3 linked regions of the Saccharomyces cerevisiae S288C genome follow. The protein of the gene in region 1 interacts with the protein of each later gene in a biochemical or structural test. Each region holds a gene or a part of one and is shown in the gene's direction. Other genes may lie near its edges.

The links.
Region 2: the proteins of KCC4 (region 1) and SIP5 form a complex in vitro, tested with the Saccharomyces cerevisiae proteins (one large-scale study listed by BioGRID).
Region 3: of the proteins of KCC4 (region 1) and VHR2, one has a biochemical effect on the other in vitro, tested with the Saccharomyces cerevisiae proteins (one large-scale study listed by BioGRID).

The regions. Positions count from the first base shown.
Region 1 is NC_001135.5:77,524-81,280, forward strand, and holds the start of KCC4 (serine/threonine protein kinase), read left to right. Parts: upstream 1-1,638; coding exon 1,639-3,757. Other genes in the region: amino acid transporter AGP1, read right to left, coding at 1-396. UniProt on the Saccharomyces cerevisiae protein: Involved in regulation of bud growth during cell cycle and in septin organization. Plays a role in cell wall synthesis.
Region 2 is NC_001145.3:545,623-549,379, forward strand, and holds SIP5 (Sip5p), read left to right. Parts: upstream 1-2,091; coding exon 2,092-3,561; downstream 3,562-3,757. Other genes in the region: Arf family GTPase CIN4, read left to right, coding at 1-108; serine/threonine protein kinase RIM11, read left to right, coding at 503-1,615. UniProt on the Saccharomyces cerevisiae protein: May negatively regulate the SNF1 kinase by promoting the interaction of the REG1/GLC7 phosphatase complex with the kinase. Deletion of SIP5 promotes resistance to artemisinin, which is probably an indirect effect of an action on the electron transport chain.
Region 3 is NC_001137.3:282,508-286,264, reverse strand, and holds VHR2 (Vhr2p), read left to right. Parts: upstream 1-2,042; coding exon 2,043-3,560; downstream 3,561-3,757. Other genes in the region: ICL1 (isocitrate lyase 1), read left to right, coding at 1-1,024. UniProt on the Saccharomyces cerevisiae protein: Transcription factor that regulates ERG9, but seems to have a more global function in transcription.

The DNA.
Region 1 (3,757 bases):
CGTACCCAACGCAATCATCAGAACATGTCTAGGCTGAATGGTTTTCTTCAGCGAGTCCGACTTATGACCTGTATTAGCGCCTATGTTGTCCGAACTTTCATTTTTTTCTAGTTCTTGAGCCTGTCTAGAAGAAGGTGAGATAGCCGACGTAAGATCGTTCATTTGTGTTGCTTCTACTTCATCCTGTGGACCCTGATCCGCTCTTTTAAAGGAGTCGAAAAACCTACGCACGGCAGAAGTGTTATGCTGTTCGTAACCTAAATGAGGTTGTGAGGATGGACGGTCATTGGAGCCTGTTTCGAAATATTCAATTTCATTATCCTGCCCCGTGGCATGTATTTCTGTGGAGCTATTTTTCAAGTCTTTCAGTTCGTATAGAGACTTCGACGACGACATTGTGCGAAGCTATCTTTGTCTATATTAGCGTGCTTCTTCTATAAAGATTACATAATAAACTTGTTCTACATTGTTGTGGGCAGACCATCAAAGACAAAGCACTTATATATGTATGTAAAACAAATGAGTATTACGAGGAAAATAACAAAAAGAAACTAATCACGAAGGATATGAGTCTTGTTAGCGGACGAGGGGAAGATAGCGCAAGACACACGTATAGCCGACCTATCCTATGCATCTTAGCCGTCTTATCAGGATTGATTTGCGGTTCAGTGAAAGAGATAACCACTGCCAAGCTGGAAGAAATGGCTAGAAGGCACTAAAAAAAGAGCCTCGCAGCGCAACTTAAGAACTGTGGACTACTAAGGAGCAGCAATCCGCTGGACGTGGGGGAGTTGAAAGTTGGCCGGATACTGCAACCTGCTTATCTATGACTCGATGAGACCGTTATTTAGTGCGATGGTGCCACTGGGAGTGCCATCAACGGCAAAGTTGCAGCTTTTTGCAGCAGATCAGTGCCGCTTAGACGGCACCCTCAAGCGGCACTGAAGAACGGCGCGCTTTTTTTTTTCTTCTATTATGCCGGTCAAGGAAAAAAAGAAACCAAAAAAAAATGCCGTGGGAGGCACGGATGCAAGATTTCTCCAAAGTCCCTTTTTAGCCGCCGAGGAAATGAGGAAATAAGGGGTTAGCCGCCGAGTGAAGCCGCCGAGGTATAAAAGGGAGAATGCACACCTTCGTAAGAAGATTCTATTTGAAAGAGTGCTAGGTAAAGTCATCAAAAGGCTTATTGATATAATAATTGCTTTGCAAAATGGAAAACAAATGACTTTGAAAATGGGAGAAAACAAAAATTATATAGGTAATGTTGAGTTCTTGATTTTTTTTTTGTTTCTGTCCTTGCCACAGCTCTTTTCATGGAACATTGGGCTCTAGGATAATTTTTTTATGTTTTCTGTTATGTTTGCCATGGTAGGTTGAGGTAAAGGCGCTCTTTCAGCAATGACGATTTATGCTAATATGTTTTCCTTAAAAGGAAAACATCTCGTTCTTTTTTTCGCGTGCTGTGCAAGAAAACGCGTAACGCAGTCTTAGTAAAAGGGCTCTCTTGAAAACTACATGAAAACTAAAAAAGAAGATGTAAATTTGGATACAACAGCGTAGAATAGCATAATAGAGTGTGCAATAAACGTGTATAGGCTTGATAATAGTGCTGACGTAAATTACCAGAACTACTGCAGTATGACTGTGGCGAATACCGAGACCCATTCTGCTGCTAAACCATCGAGTACTATAGGCCCATGGAAGCTTGGTGAAACACTGGGCTTTGGTAGCACCGGCAAGGTCCAACTTGCGCAACATGAGCGCACGGGCCATAGAACAGCCGTCAAAGTAATCTCAAAGTCCATTTTCAACAACAACGGAAACCACAGTAACGACGATTCAGTGCTGCCATACAACATCGAGCGTGAGATTGTTATTATGAAACTTTTGAGCCACCCAAACGTTCTGAGTCTTTACGACGTTTGGGAAACCAACAATAACCTGTACCTTATCCTGGAATACGCCGAAAAGGGAGAACTGTTCAACTTGCTTGTGGACCACGGTCCCTTGCCCGAGCGTGAGGCCATCAATTGCTTCAGACAGATAATTATAGGCATTTCATACTGCCATGCGCTAGGAATAGTACATCGGGATTTAAAGCCAGAAAATCTTTTGCTCGATAGTTTCTATAATATCAAAATTGCGGATTTTGGTATGGCAGCTTTACAGACAGACGCCGACCTGCTAGAAACTTCTTGTGGGTCTCCTCATTATGCCGCTCCTGAGATCGTATCAGGTCTGCCCTATGAAGGATTTGCCAGCGACGTTTGGTCTTGCGGTGTAATCCTCTTTGCCCTTTTAACGGGTAGACTACCCTTCGATGAAGAAAACGGTAATGTTAGGGATTTGTTATTGAAAGTCCAAAAGGGCCAGTTTGAAATGCCCAATGACACCGAAATTTCCAGAGATGCACAAGATTTAATCGGCAAGATTCTCGTTGTAGATCCCAGGCAAAGAATAAAAATCAGAGACATCCTTAGTCATCCACTGCTAAAAAAATATCAAACCATTAAGGATTCCAAAAGTATCAAAGATTTACCTCGTGAAAATACCTATCTATATCCACTGGCTGACTCGAACAACCATACTAGCGCCTCTATCGATGATTCAATCCTACAAAACTTGGTGGTACTTTGGCATGGTAGACACGCCGATGACATCGTATCTAAACTGAAAGAGAATGGAACCAACAAAGAAAAAATTCTATATGCGCTACTATACCGTTTCAAACTGGACTCTGTAAGGGGATCGAATAAGAAGAACCGCAATAAGATAAAGAAAACCAAAAAAAATAAAAGATCTAGCACACTTTCGTCATCGTCATCATTATTATTGAACAACCGAAGCATACAATCTACGCCACGCAGACGTACATCCAAGAGGCATTCCAGGGAATTCTCTTCTAGCAGGAAGAGATCGTCCTTTTTACTGTCCTCGAATCCTACCGATAGTTCTCCAATACCTTTGAGAAGTAGTAAAAGAATTACACATATTAACGTAGCGTCTGCAAATACCCAAGCAACGCCAAGTGGTGTCCCGAATCCTCACAAGAGGAACTCAAAAAAACGGTCAAGCAAAAGATTATCTTATATGCCTAATACAAAAAGAAGCTCACTAACATCAAAATCATTATCAAACTTTACTAACCTAATAGATGATGATGATTGGGAGTACATTGAAAAGGATGCAAAGAGAACAAGTTCCAACTTCGCTACACTGATTGATGAAATATTTGAGCCTGAGAAATTTGAATTGGCGAAAAGAGAAAAGGCTGAACTTCAAAGAAAAGTTCAGGAAGCAAAAAGGCAATCAGTGAATGCACAGAAGATTAATGAGGACGAGTTTGGATCCGAAGTTTCTGATGGAATGAAAGAGCTGAAAAAAATAAATGACAAAGTGTCGTCCCCGTTGATAAATTACGAATTTTCGCAACAAGAACTATTGCAAGATATAGACACCTTACTAACGAATCGTTATCAACTTTCGTCATATACTAGGCCTATTTCGAGACTGGATCCCGGATTAACGCCTGTTACTGAGACACTTCCTAACAACCTAAAAGAAAAAACAGCTCTGCTGCAGGATACTGAAAAGAAAATAATAGAAACGATACGCAGATCCAAATTTTTAGGATCGCTACTAAATGTTAGAGGGGGACTATCGCCAGGGAAAAGTGAACTGGCACCTATCGAAGAGTCTCCCATAGTTTCAACCACACCACTAATATATAATGATCGAATGGAACCTCGTAGGATAT
Region 2 (3,757 bases), on another chromosome or scaffold:
TTCAAGCCGGACATCCGAATAGAGCTCGTCAAATGTAGTGGCGTTACCGGAGAAGGTATTGATAACCTGCGTGACCGTCTGGTGGAATCCTGCCATTTTACCCAATAATCGTCTAAGATGTGAGCACCATATAAAAACTTTAAATAATGTCAGTATTTATAGCGTGATAGTTCATTACCCGCCGACTGTGCGCATTCGTGGCTTCTGCTCACTCCGGATAATAATACTACCAAGGGGTTCTGTAAGGCTTGCGGGTTACAAAGCACGGGTCCATTGAAGATCTTACACAAGAAGGAGTGGTAGGAAGACCAGCAGATTATTTCCAATCGGTCGTTGCCATTGTCTTATTTCCTTTTCTTTCTGGCGCATTGCATTTTAACACCTTTTTTTCCAGAATAGCCAACCACCGACGTCTGATTCACACATTACTGGGCAAGATCTTGACATAGCATTACATTACAACACGGCAACACTAATCACGCAACGCTAGAACTCGCGCAGGATGAATATTCAAAGCAATAATTCTCCGAATCTCAGTAATAACATAGTGTCAAAACAGGTTTACTACGCCCATCCTCCACCTACGATAGACCCGAATGATCCGGTGCAGATATCTTTCCCTACCACCGAAGTAGTTGGGCATGGTTCGTTTGGTGTGGTATTTGCCACTGTTATTCAAGAAACTAATGAAAAAGTTGCTATTAAGAAAGTCCTGCAAGATAAACGATTCAAGAACAGAGAGCTGGAAATAATGAAAATGCTGAGTCACATAAATATAATAGATCTGAAGTACTTTTTCTATGAAAGGGACTCCCAAGATGAGATTTATTTAAATTTGATACTAGAATACATGCCACAATCTTTGTACCAGAGGTTACGTCATTTCGTCCATCAACGTACGCCGATGTCAAGATTGGAAATAAAGTACTACATGTTTCAATTGTTCAAGTCATTGAATTACCTCCATCATTTCGCGAACGTCTGTCATAGAGACATTAAGCCTCAAAATTTATTAGTAGATCCTGAGACCTGGTCCTTAAAACTGTGCGATTTCGGCAGTGCAAAGCAATTGAAACCTACTGAACCTAACGTTTCCTATATTTGTTCACGGTACTATAGAGCACCAGAGCTAATCTTCGGCGCAACAAATTATACCAACCAAATCGACATATGGTCCTCTGGCTGCGTAATGGCGGAACTGCTATTGGGCCAACCAATGTTCCCTGGAGAAAGTGGTATTGATCAACTAGTGGAAATCATTAAAATCTTAGGTACTCCATCAAAGCAAGAAATTTGCTCTATGAATCCCAATTATATGGAGCATAAGTTCCCGCAAATTAAACCAATACCATTGTCACGTGTTTTCAAGAAAGAAGATGATCAAACTGTGGAATTTCTAGCTGACGTTTTGAAATATGATCCACTAGAAAGATTTAATGCTCTACAATGCCTGTGTAGTCCATATTTTGATGAACTAAAACTTGATGACGGTAAAATAAATCAAATAACAACTGATTTAAAATTGCTAGAGTTCGATGAAAATGTCGAATTGGGCCATCTATCTCCCGATGAACTATCATCTGTAAAAAAAAAGCTATATCCGAAGTCTAAGTAATGATAGCACCGGAGGGAGCCCAGGCAAGAATAATGGGAGAAGGAAGGAACATATATACGTATGTCTTTTTTTAGTACTATTATTACTGTTATTATTATGAGTATTGTTTTTGTATTACCATCATATTCTTATCATTATTAGTAGTAACAGTATTATGTTATCATTACTGTTATAATGAATACAAATTATGAAAAAAATAAGGTAAAGCCAAAATAAATTGTAACTTTTTTATGCCATTTCACTTCGAATTATGTATAAAAGCCGTATTCTTTGCCAGTACGAAACTATTTTAATGACACCTTTACTTTAACCGGGTAACAACTTCCTTAAATGGGTCGACAAGGTTTTTAGAGTATAAAGGGGCAAGTGAAGGTTCATCATCGAGCTGATGTAGTGGGTGTTTTAGTAAACGAAGAAGCACCTTAGAACCAAATAATCTAGCTAGTATAAACCGAACCCAGAGTAGCAAACAAACCATGGGTAATGTTCCAGGGAAAATAGACCAGGAAGATAGTTTTAATGATGTCAGGCCAGATTCCTCATATAATACTACATCATCGAATTCTGTCATCAAACAATATGATGAAGAAGCCTCTTCAAGGGTGAGAACGAGACGCACGACGTCTTTGGTCAATAATATTTTAAATGGGAATAATGCTCGTACAAAAACTGGTTCTCATCTATCCAGCACTAGTAGAAGAAAGACGTCACGGGAAAAAGAGCTTGCTAAAGAGGCACATGCTAAACAATTGGTTGTGAGGTGTAGCGAAACTGTAGATGGGGGGTTTTTGGCCCCATTTGGCTGTTATTCTTTTGAAAAGTTGGACTATGATGCTACTGTCGTTAAAAATTTAATAATCAAAAGAAAGTTAGCGCCGTTTTACACTCCTTTGCAGGATTTTGATGAAAGTTGGACTAGAGATGAGTTGATAAAAATTGTTGACGGATTGCCCTTGCATGACACGTTCGATGAAAATTTGGAAGAATTCGAAGACGTACCGATAGGCAATTTAAGGAAGTCAACATTTAATGAATTAATAGACAAATCTTTATCCAAGAAGGAACAGAGAAGAATGCACGCAAAGATTTTTAGAGCAAGATTGTATAAGAAAAGAATTTTATGGCAAGAAAATGAAAATGAGACGTTTTTGGAGAGGAAATTGGAAATGAAAAGAATTGGCAGCAAGTCCAGCAATGTTGAAGATAATACCAGTAGCCAGCCAAGGAAAAATTACCATTTACCAAGTGACGATTTGAAGTATACTCTTTACAAAAATGGGTCGGAATGCCCTATTTGTTTTTTATACTTTCCAGGGCCTTTCAACTATTCCAAATGTTGTCAACAGCCTATTTGTACCGAGTGTTTTGTACAGATTAAGAGAGCTGATCCTCACTTCCCTCATGACGAAGTAGACCCAACTGAACCACAAACTAATGACAGTGAAAAGGACCCAAATCTTCTTACCTCTGAGCCAGCAAATTGCCCCTACTGTGCAACTGCTAGTTTTAGCATCACTTATCAACCACCCACAAATCGTGAAACTGGTATAGGGGGTATGCCAGCCGACTCATACGTGTATAAGGACGCCGCCATATCAAGAGCTGATGGCGGTCAGCCAAACATATCAGCCATTACTTCGGATACCATTCGTCCTGATTGGGAGATTAAATTGAACAAAGAAAGGGCAAGGTTGATGAGGAGATCCGCGAATGCCACCGCTATACATATAAGTAATAGGTTGATCGATCCAAGCCATAGCAGAAGGAGAAATACAAGTCACAGTATAACCCCTATTCATGATGAAAGTACGTCAGCTTCAAGATCTCCTGAACCGACAATAAACGAACTTGAAGATCAAATGGTTAGAGAGGCTATTAGGTTAAGCCTTGAAGATCAGGACAACCGAAAAAAATCAAAGAATAGAAACACCTCTTTGAGACCATAGCATCACAGTTTGACATTTTTTACAATATTAAAAAAATCCTTTTTCAAACGTTCCAGAAGTGCACTATTTTTCTTTTGTTCCATCTATATCTAACGGAGCGTCACCAACCTGACCTTCCTTTTGGCTTTAAACAAAATGATCCGGAAATATCGTCACATTTATTGTGAAGAGAGAGAAGTTTTACAGTTAATTGTAT
Region 3 (3,757 bases), on another chromosome or scaffold:
TGGGCATATGGCAGGAAGATGTGTTATACCCGTTCAGGAACATGTTAACAGATTGGTGACTATTAGAATGTGTGCTGATATCATGCATTCTGACTTAATTGTCGTTGCTAGGACTGATTCAGAAGCAGCCACTTTGATTAGCTCAACCATCGATACCAGAGATCATTATTTCATTGTCGGTGCCACCAATCCAAATATCGAGCCATTTGCCGAAGTTTTAAATGATGCCATCATGAGTGGTGCATCAGGACAAGAACTAGCTGACATTGAACAAAAATGGTGTAGAGACGCTGGACTCAAGTTATTCCATGAAGCCGTCATTGATGAAATTGAAAGATCAGCCCTGTCAAATAAGCAAGAATTGATTAAGAAATTCACCTCTAAAGTGGGTCCATTGACTGAAACATCCCACAGAGAAGCCAAGAAGCTCGCTAAAGAAATTCTTGGCCACGAAATTTTCTTCGACTGGGAGCTACCACGCGTAAGGGAAGGGTTGTACCGTTACAGAGGTGGGACGCAATGTTCTATCATGAGGGCCCGTGCATTTGCTCCATATGCTGATTTGGTATGGATGGAATCTAACTACCCAGACTTCCAACAGGCCAAGGAGTTTGCAGAAGGTGTTAAAGAGAAATTCCCTGACCAATGGCTAGCTTACAACTTGTCTCCATCCTTTAACTGGCCAAAAGCCATGTCCGTTGATGAACAACACACCTTCATCCAAAGGCTGGGTGATCTAGGTTACATCTGGCAATTTATCACATTGGCCGGTTTACACACTAACGCTTTAGCTGTCCATAACTTCTCTCGTGACTTTGCCAAGGATGGGATGAAAGCTTATGCCCAGAATGTTCAGCAGAGGGAAATGGACGATGGTGTTGATGTGTTGAAACATCAAAAATGGTCTGGTGCGGAGTACATCGATGGGTTATTGAAGTTAGCTCAAGGTGGTGTTAGCGCAACAGCTGCTATGGGAACCGGTGTCACAGAAGATCAATTCAAAGAAAATGGCGTAAAGAAATAGGACAAGGATTAACCATTAGAACTGCCGGCATTTCCTGACAAGTATATATATTCGTAATCTCAATGTATATTTTTTTCATATATAAACATGCGTACTTAAAAACTTAAACTCATCGTTACTGCAGTACAATGTTCTCTAATGGCATCTCTCTAATGGTACTCCAACTAAAGTCAACATTCTCTCCGTGCAAGAATGCCTTTCTCTAGTTGCAAAAACGAGTCAATAAACATCTTTGATCGAGTCGCCTCATTTTTGTTGACTCGGTGACTAAAATCAGTGCCATTTCTGTCCATGCCTCGTGCGCGAATGATTGAATCGAACTAATCCCGAACACAATCATAGTATCGTATCGCCCATTAGTGCCGTGAGTGTACGCGAGGCAAAAGGCACCATGGAAAATATTCCCTTAGTCATCTTGGAAATCATTGAGACTGTAAAGGAACTCGCAAACGGGTAACCGATATTTACCCCACCTTTGGTCGAGAAATTCCACCTGTTCGGCAATTTTTGCCGCTCTTCTCAAGAGCAAAAGGCGTTTTTTTTTCTGACACGCCTCTTCTCTCGCATGCCAAACTCAAGCGTCCTACATGCTTTTCTCATGAAAGCCAAGTGCGGGATGAAAAACATAAAATGTGACAAATAGTGCCACCTCATAATGTAATCGAGAGGCAAAATTAATCACTTTGTTCTCCCTTTTCTTTTTTCTGGGCGCTCAAAGTGAGATGCTTTCTGTAGAAAATAACATGGCCGTTAGAAGGTACTCGTCATCTTTTAGCTGCCGCATACATGTACACACACACACACACACACACGCACGCACATATATATATATATATATATATATATATATATATATTAAACATGATGGCAAAAAACCGAACTAAGTGCTCCTGTTCTATTTTTATATTCTTGCTTTTCATATTTCTCTAGCTGTATATTACCTTTAGCATATTCAAACATCTTAACCGGAAAATATCTCAGCAAAAAAAACAGCAACAGTCAGAGTAAAAATTGCAAGATGATTGACGATACTGAGAACTCCAAAATTCATTTGGAAGGTAGCCATAAAACAGGAAAGTATACGGGCTATGGTACTACACATAAAATCAGAGCTCAGTTAAACTTTAATGATGAAAAGAAATGGAAGAAGTTTTCTAGCAGAAGACTAGAACTCATTGACTCATTTGGCTTGAGCCAGCACAAAGCAAGTGAACAAGATGATAATATAAGACAAATAGCCACCATATTAAGGAGTGAATTTGAGTACCCTGATACGTTTTCGGCAGAATTTGAAAAGTTGGTTACCGCTGCTGTTCAATCGGTGAGAAGAAACAGGAAACGTTCCAAGAAAAAATTATTAGACTCTAAGAAGAAAATAGCCCGTGGTAAAGTTCAAAAAATTCCTTTGTCTCCCCCCAGCTCAAGTAATATGGGGTCTTGTTCAGCTTCCAATGCATCAAGCTCTGACGAAGAAGCCAGCGTGAAGGAAGAACCTGCTGAGCACGCTCTTCCTTCTCTTAATACTATAACATCACAAAAATTGTTACCTTATCCGAATGGCCGCACTCTTCCACCTGTACCAACTCAAGTTCGCTCTTTACTTAAGAAGAACGCATCTCTTCTTCGTGATCCATCGGCACCGTATGCGCACGGCGGCGATGAAAAATTACAAAAGTTTGATATAGAAGATCAGCCTCTAGAAAGTGAACAAGAATACGACTTTATTGCCAAATCAATAATTGTTGAAATTGTAAATAATGCTATTCCACTACCTGAACAAATTCAAAGAGATAAGTTCATTAGACCAAATTTAACGAAAAAAAAAGGGTGCCAAAGCAAAGTTGTAATATCCAACAACTTGAGAAAACTCATCCTGTCAAAGATACATAACTCAAGGACGTGCTTGGAGATGTCTAAGGATGAAAGAAATTTGGATTCTTTTGCTAATCTAGAAACGCTGGGCAAAAATTCACTAATGGCTTCCATTTCCCTTGTGGTAGAAAACAGCTTTTCACATTTACCGTCTTCTACTAAGCAATATCTTACTGAACGGCTGTCATCAATCGAATTTTTGACTATTCTATCGCAAAGGCTATTTATGCCCGCTACACGTCAACTATTCGCTGACCTATCACAAGAAAAAATTCAGGTGAGAGTGCTGAATCTCATACTGGGATCTCTTGTCAAAGATTATGGGTTTGATGCATCTTTGGCACCAATCAACGAAATTATCTATCACATGACACTCCATCAATATCCCTTGGTTTGTAGTAATAAACAGTCCAATCCAATGAGGCCACACTCCACATCTGAGGTCTTGAGTGCACATTCTTCAACGAAAGATGCAAGCACTCCCGGTAAAGAAGAGCCTCGAGTGACGAGGTCAAGCACATCGGCAGATAGCACTATCATTACATTGCCTTCAATTGAAGTCCCAAATACGTACGATGATGACAGGTTAAAGATGTTGAGCGCGATATCGTTGCAGATTGAAAATTCCACCTTTTCCAAACCATTCAGTACTATTTCAAAATAAATAGGCCCGCTTGCATCATCCCCACCTGCATTACTATGAACTATTTATCATAGCTTATTTTTCCTCTATCATCATTGTAACTTGTACAAGAATGTTCAGTCTGTAAATCTCGCCGCTCATTCTCTACTAGCACTTTACAACGTTGACAGCCACTGTATGTGTAATACAGTGAACCGCCGACTCTTCGGATTTAATAA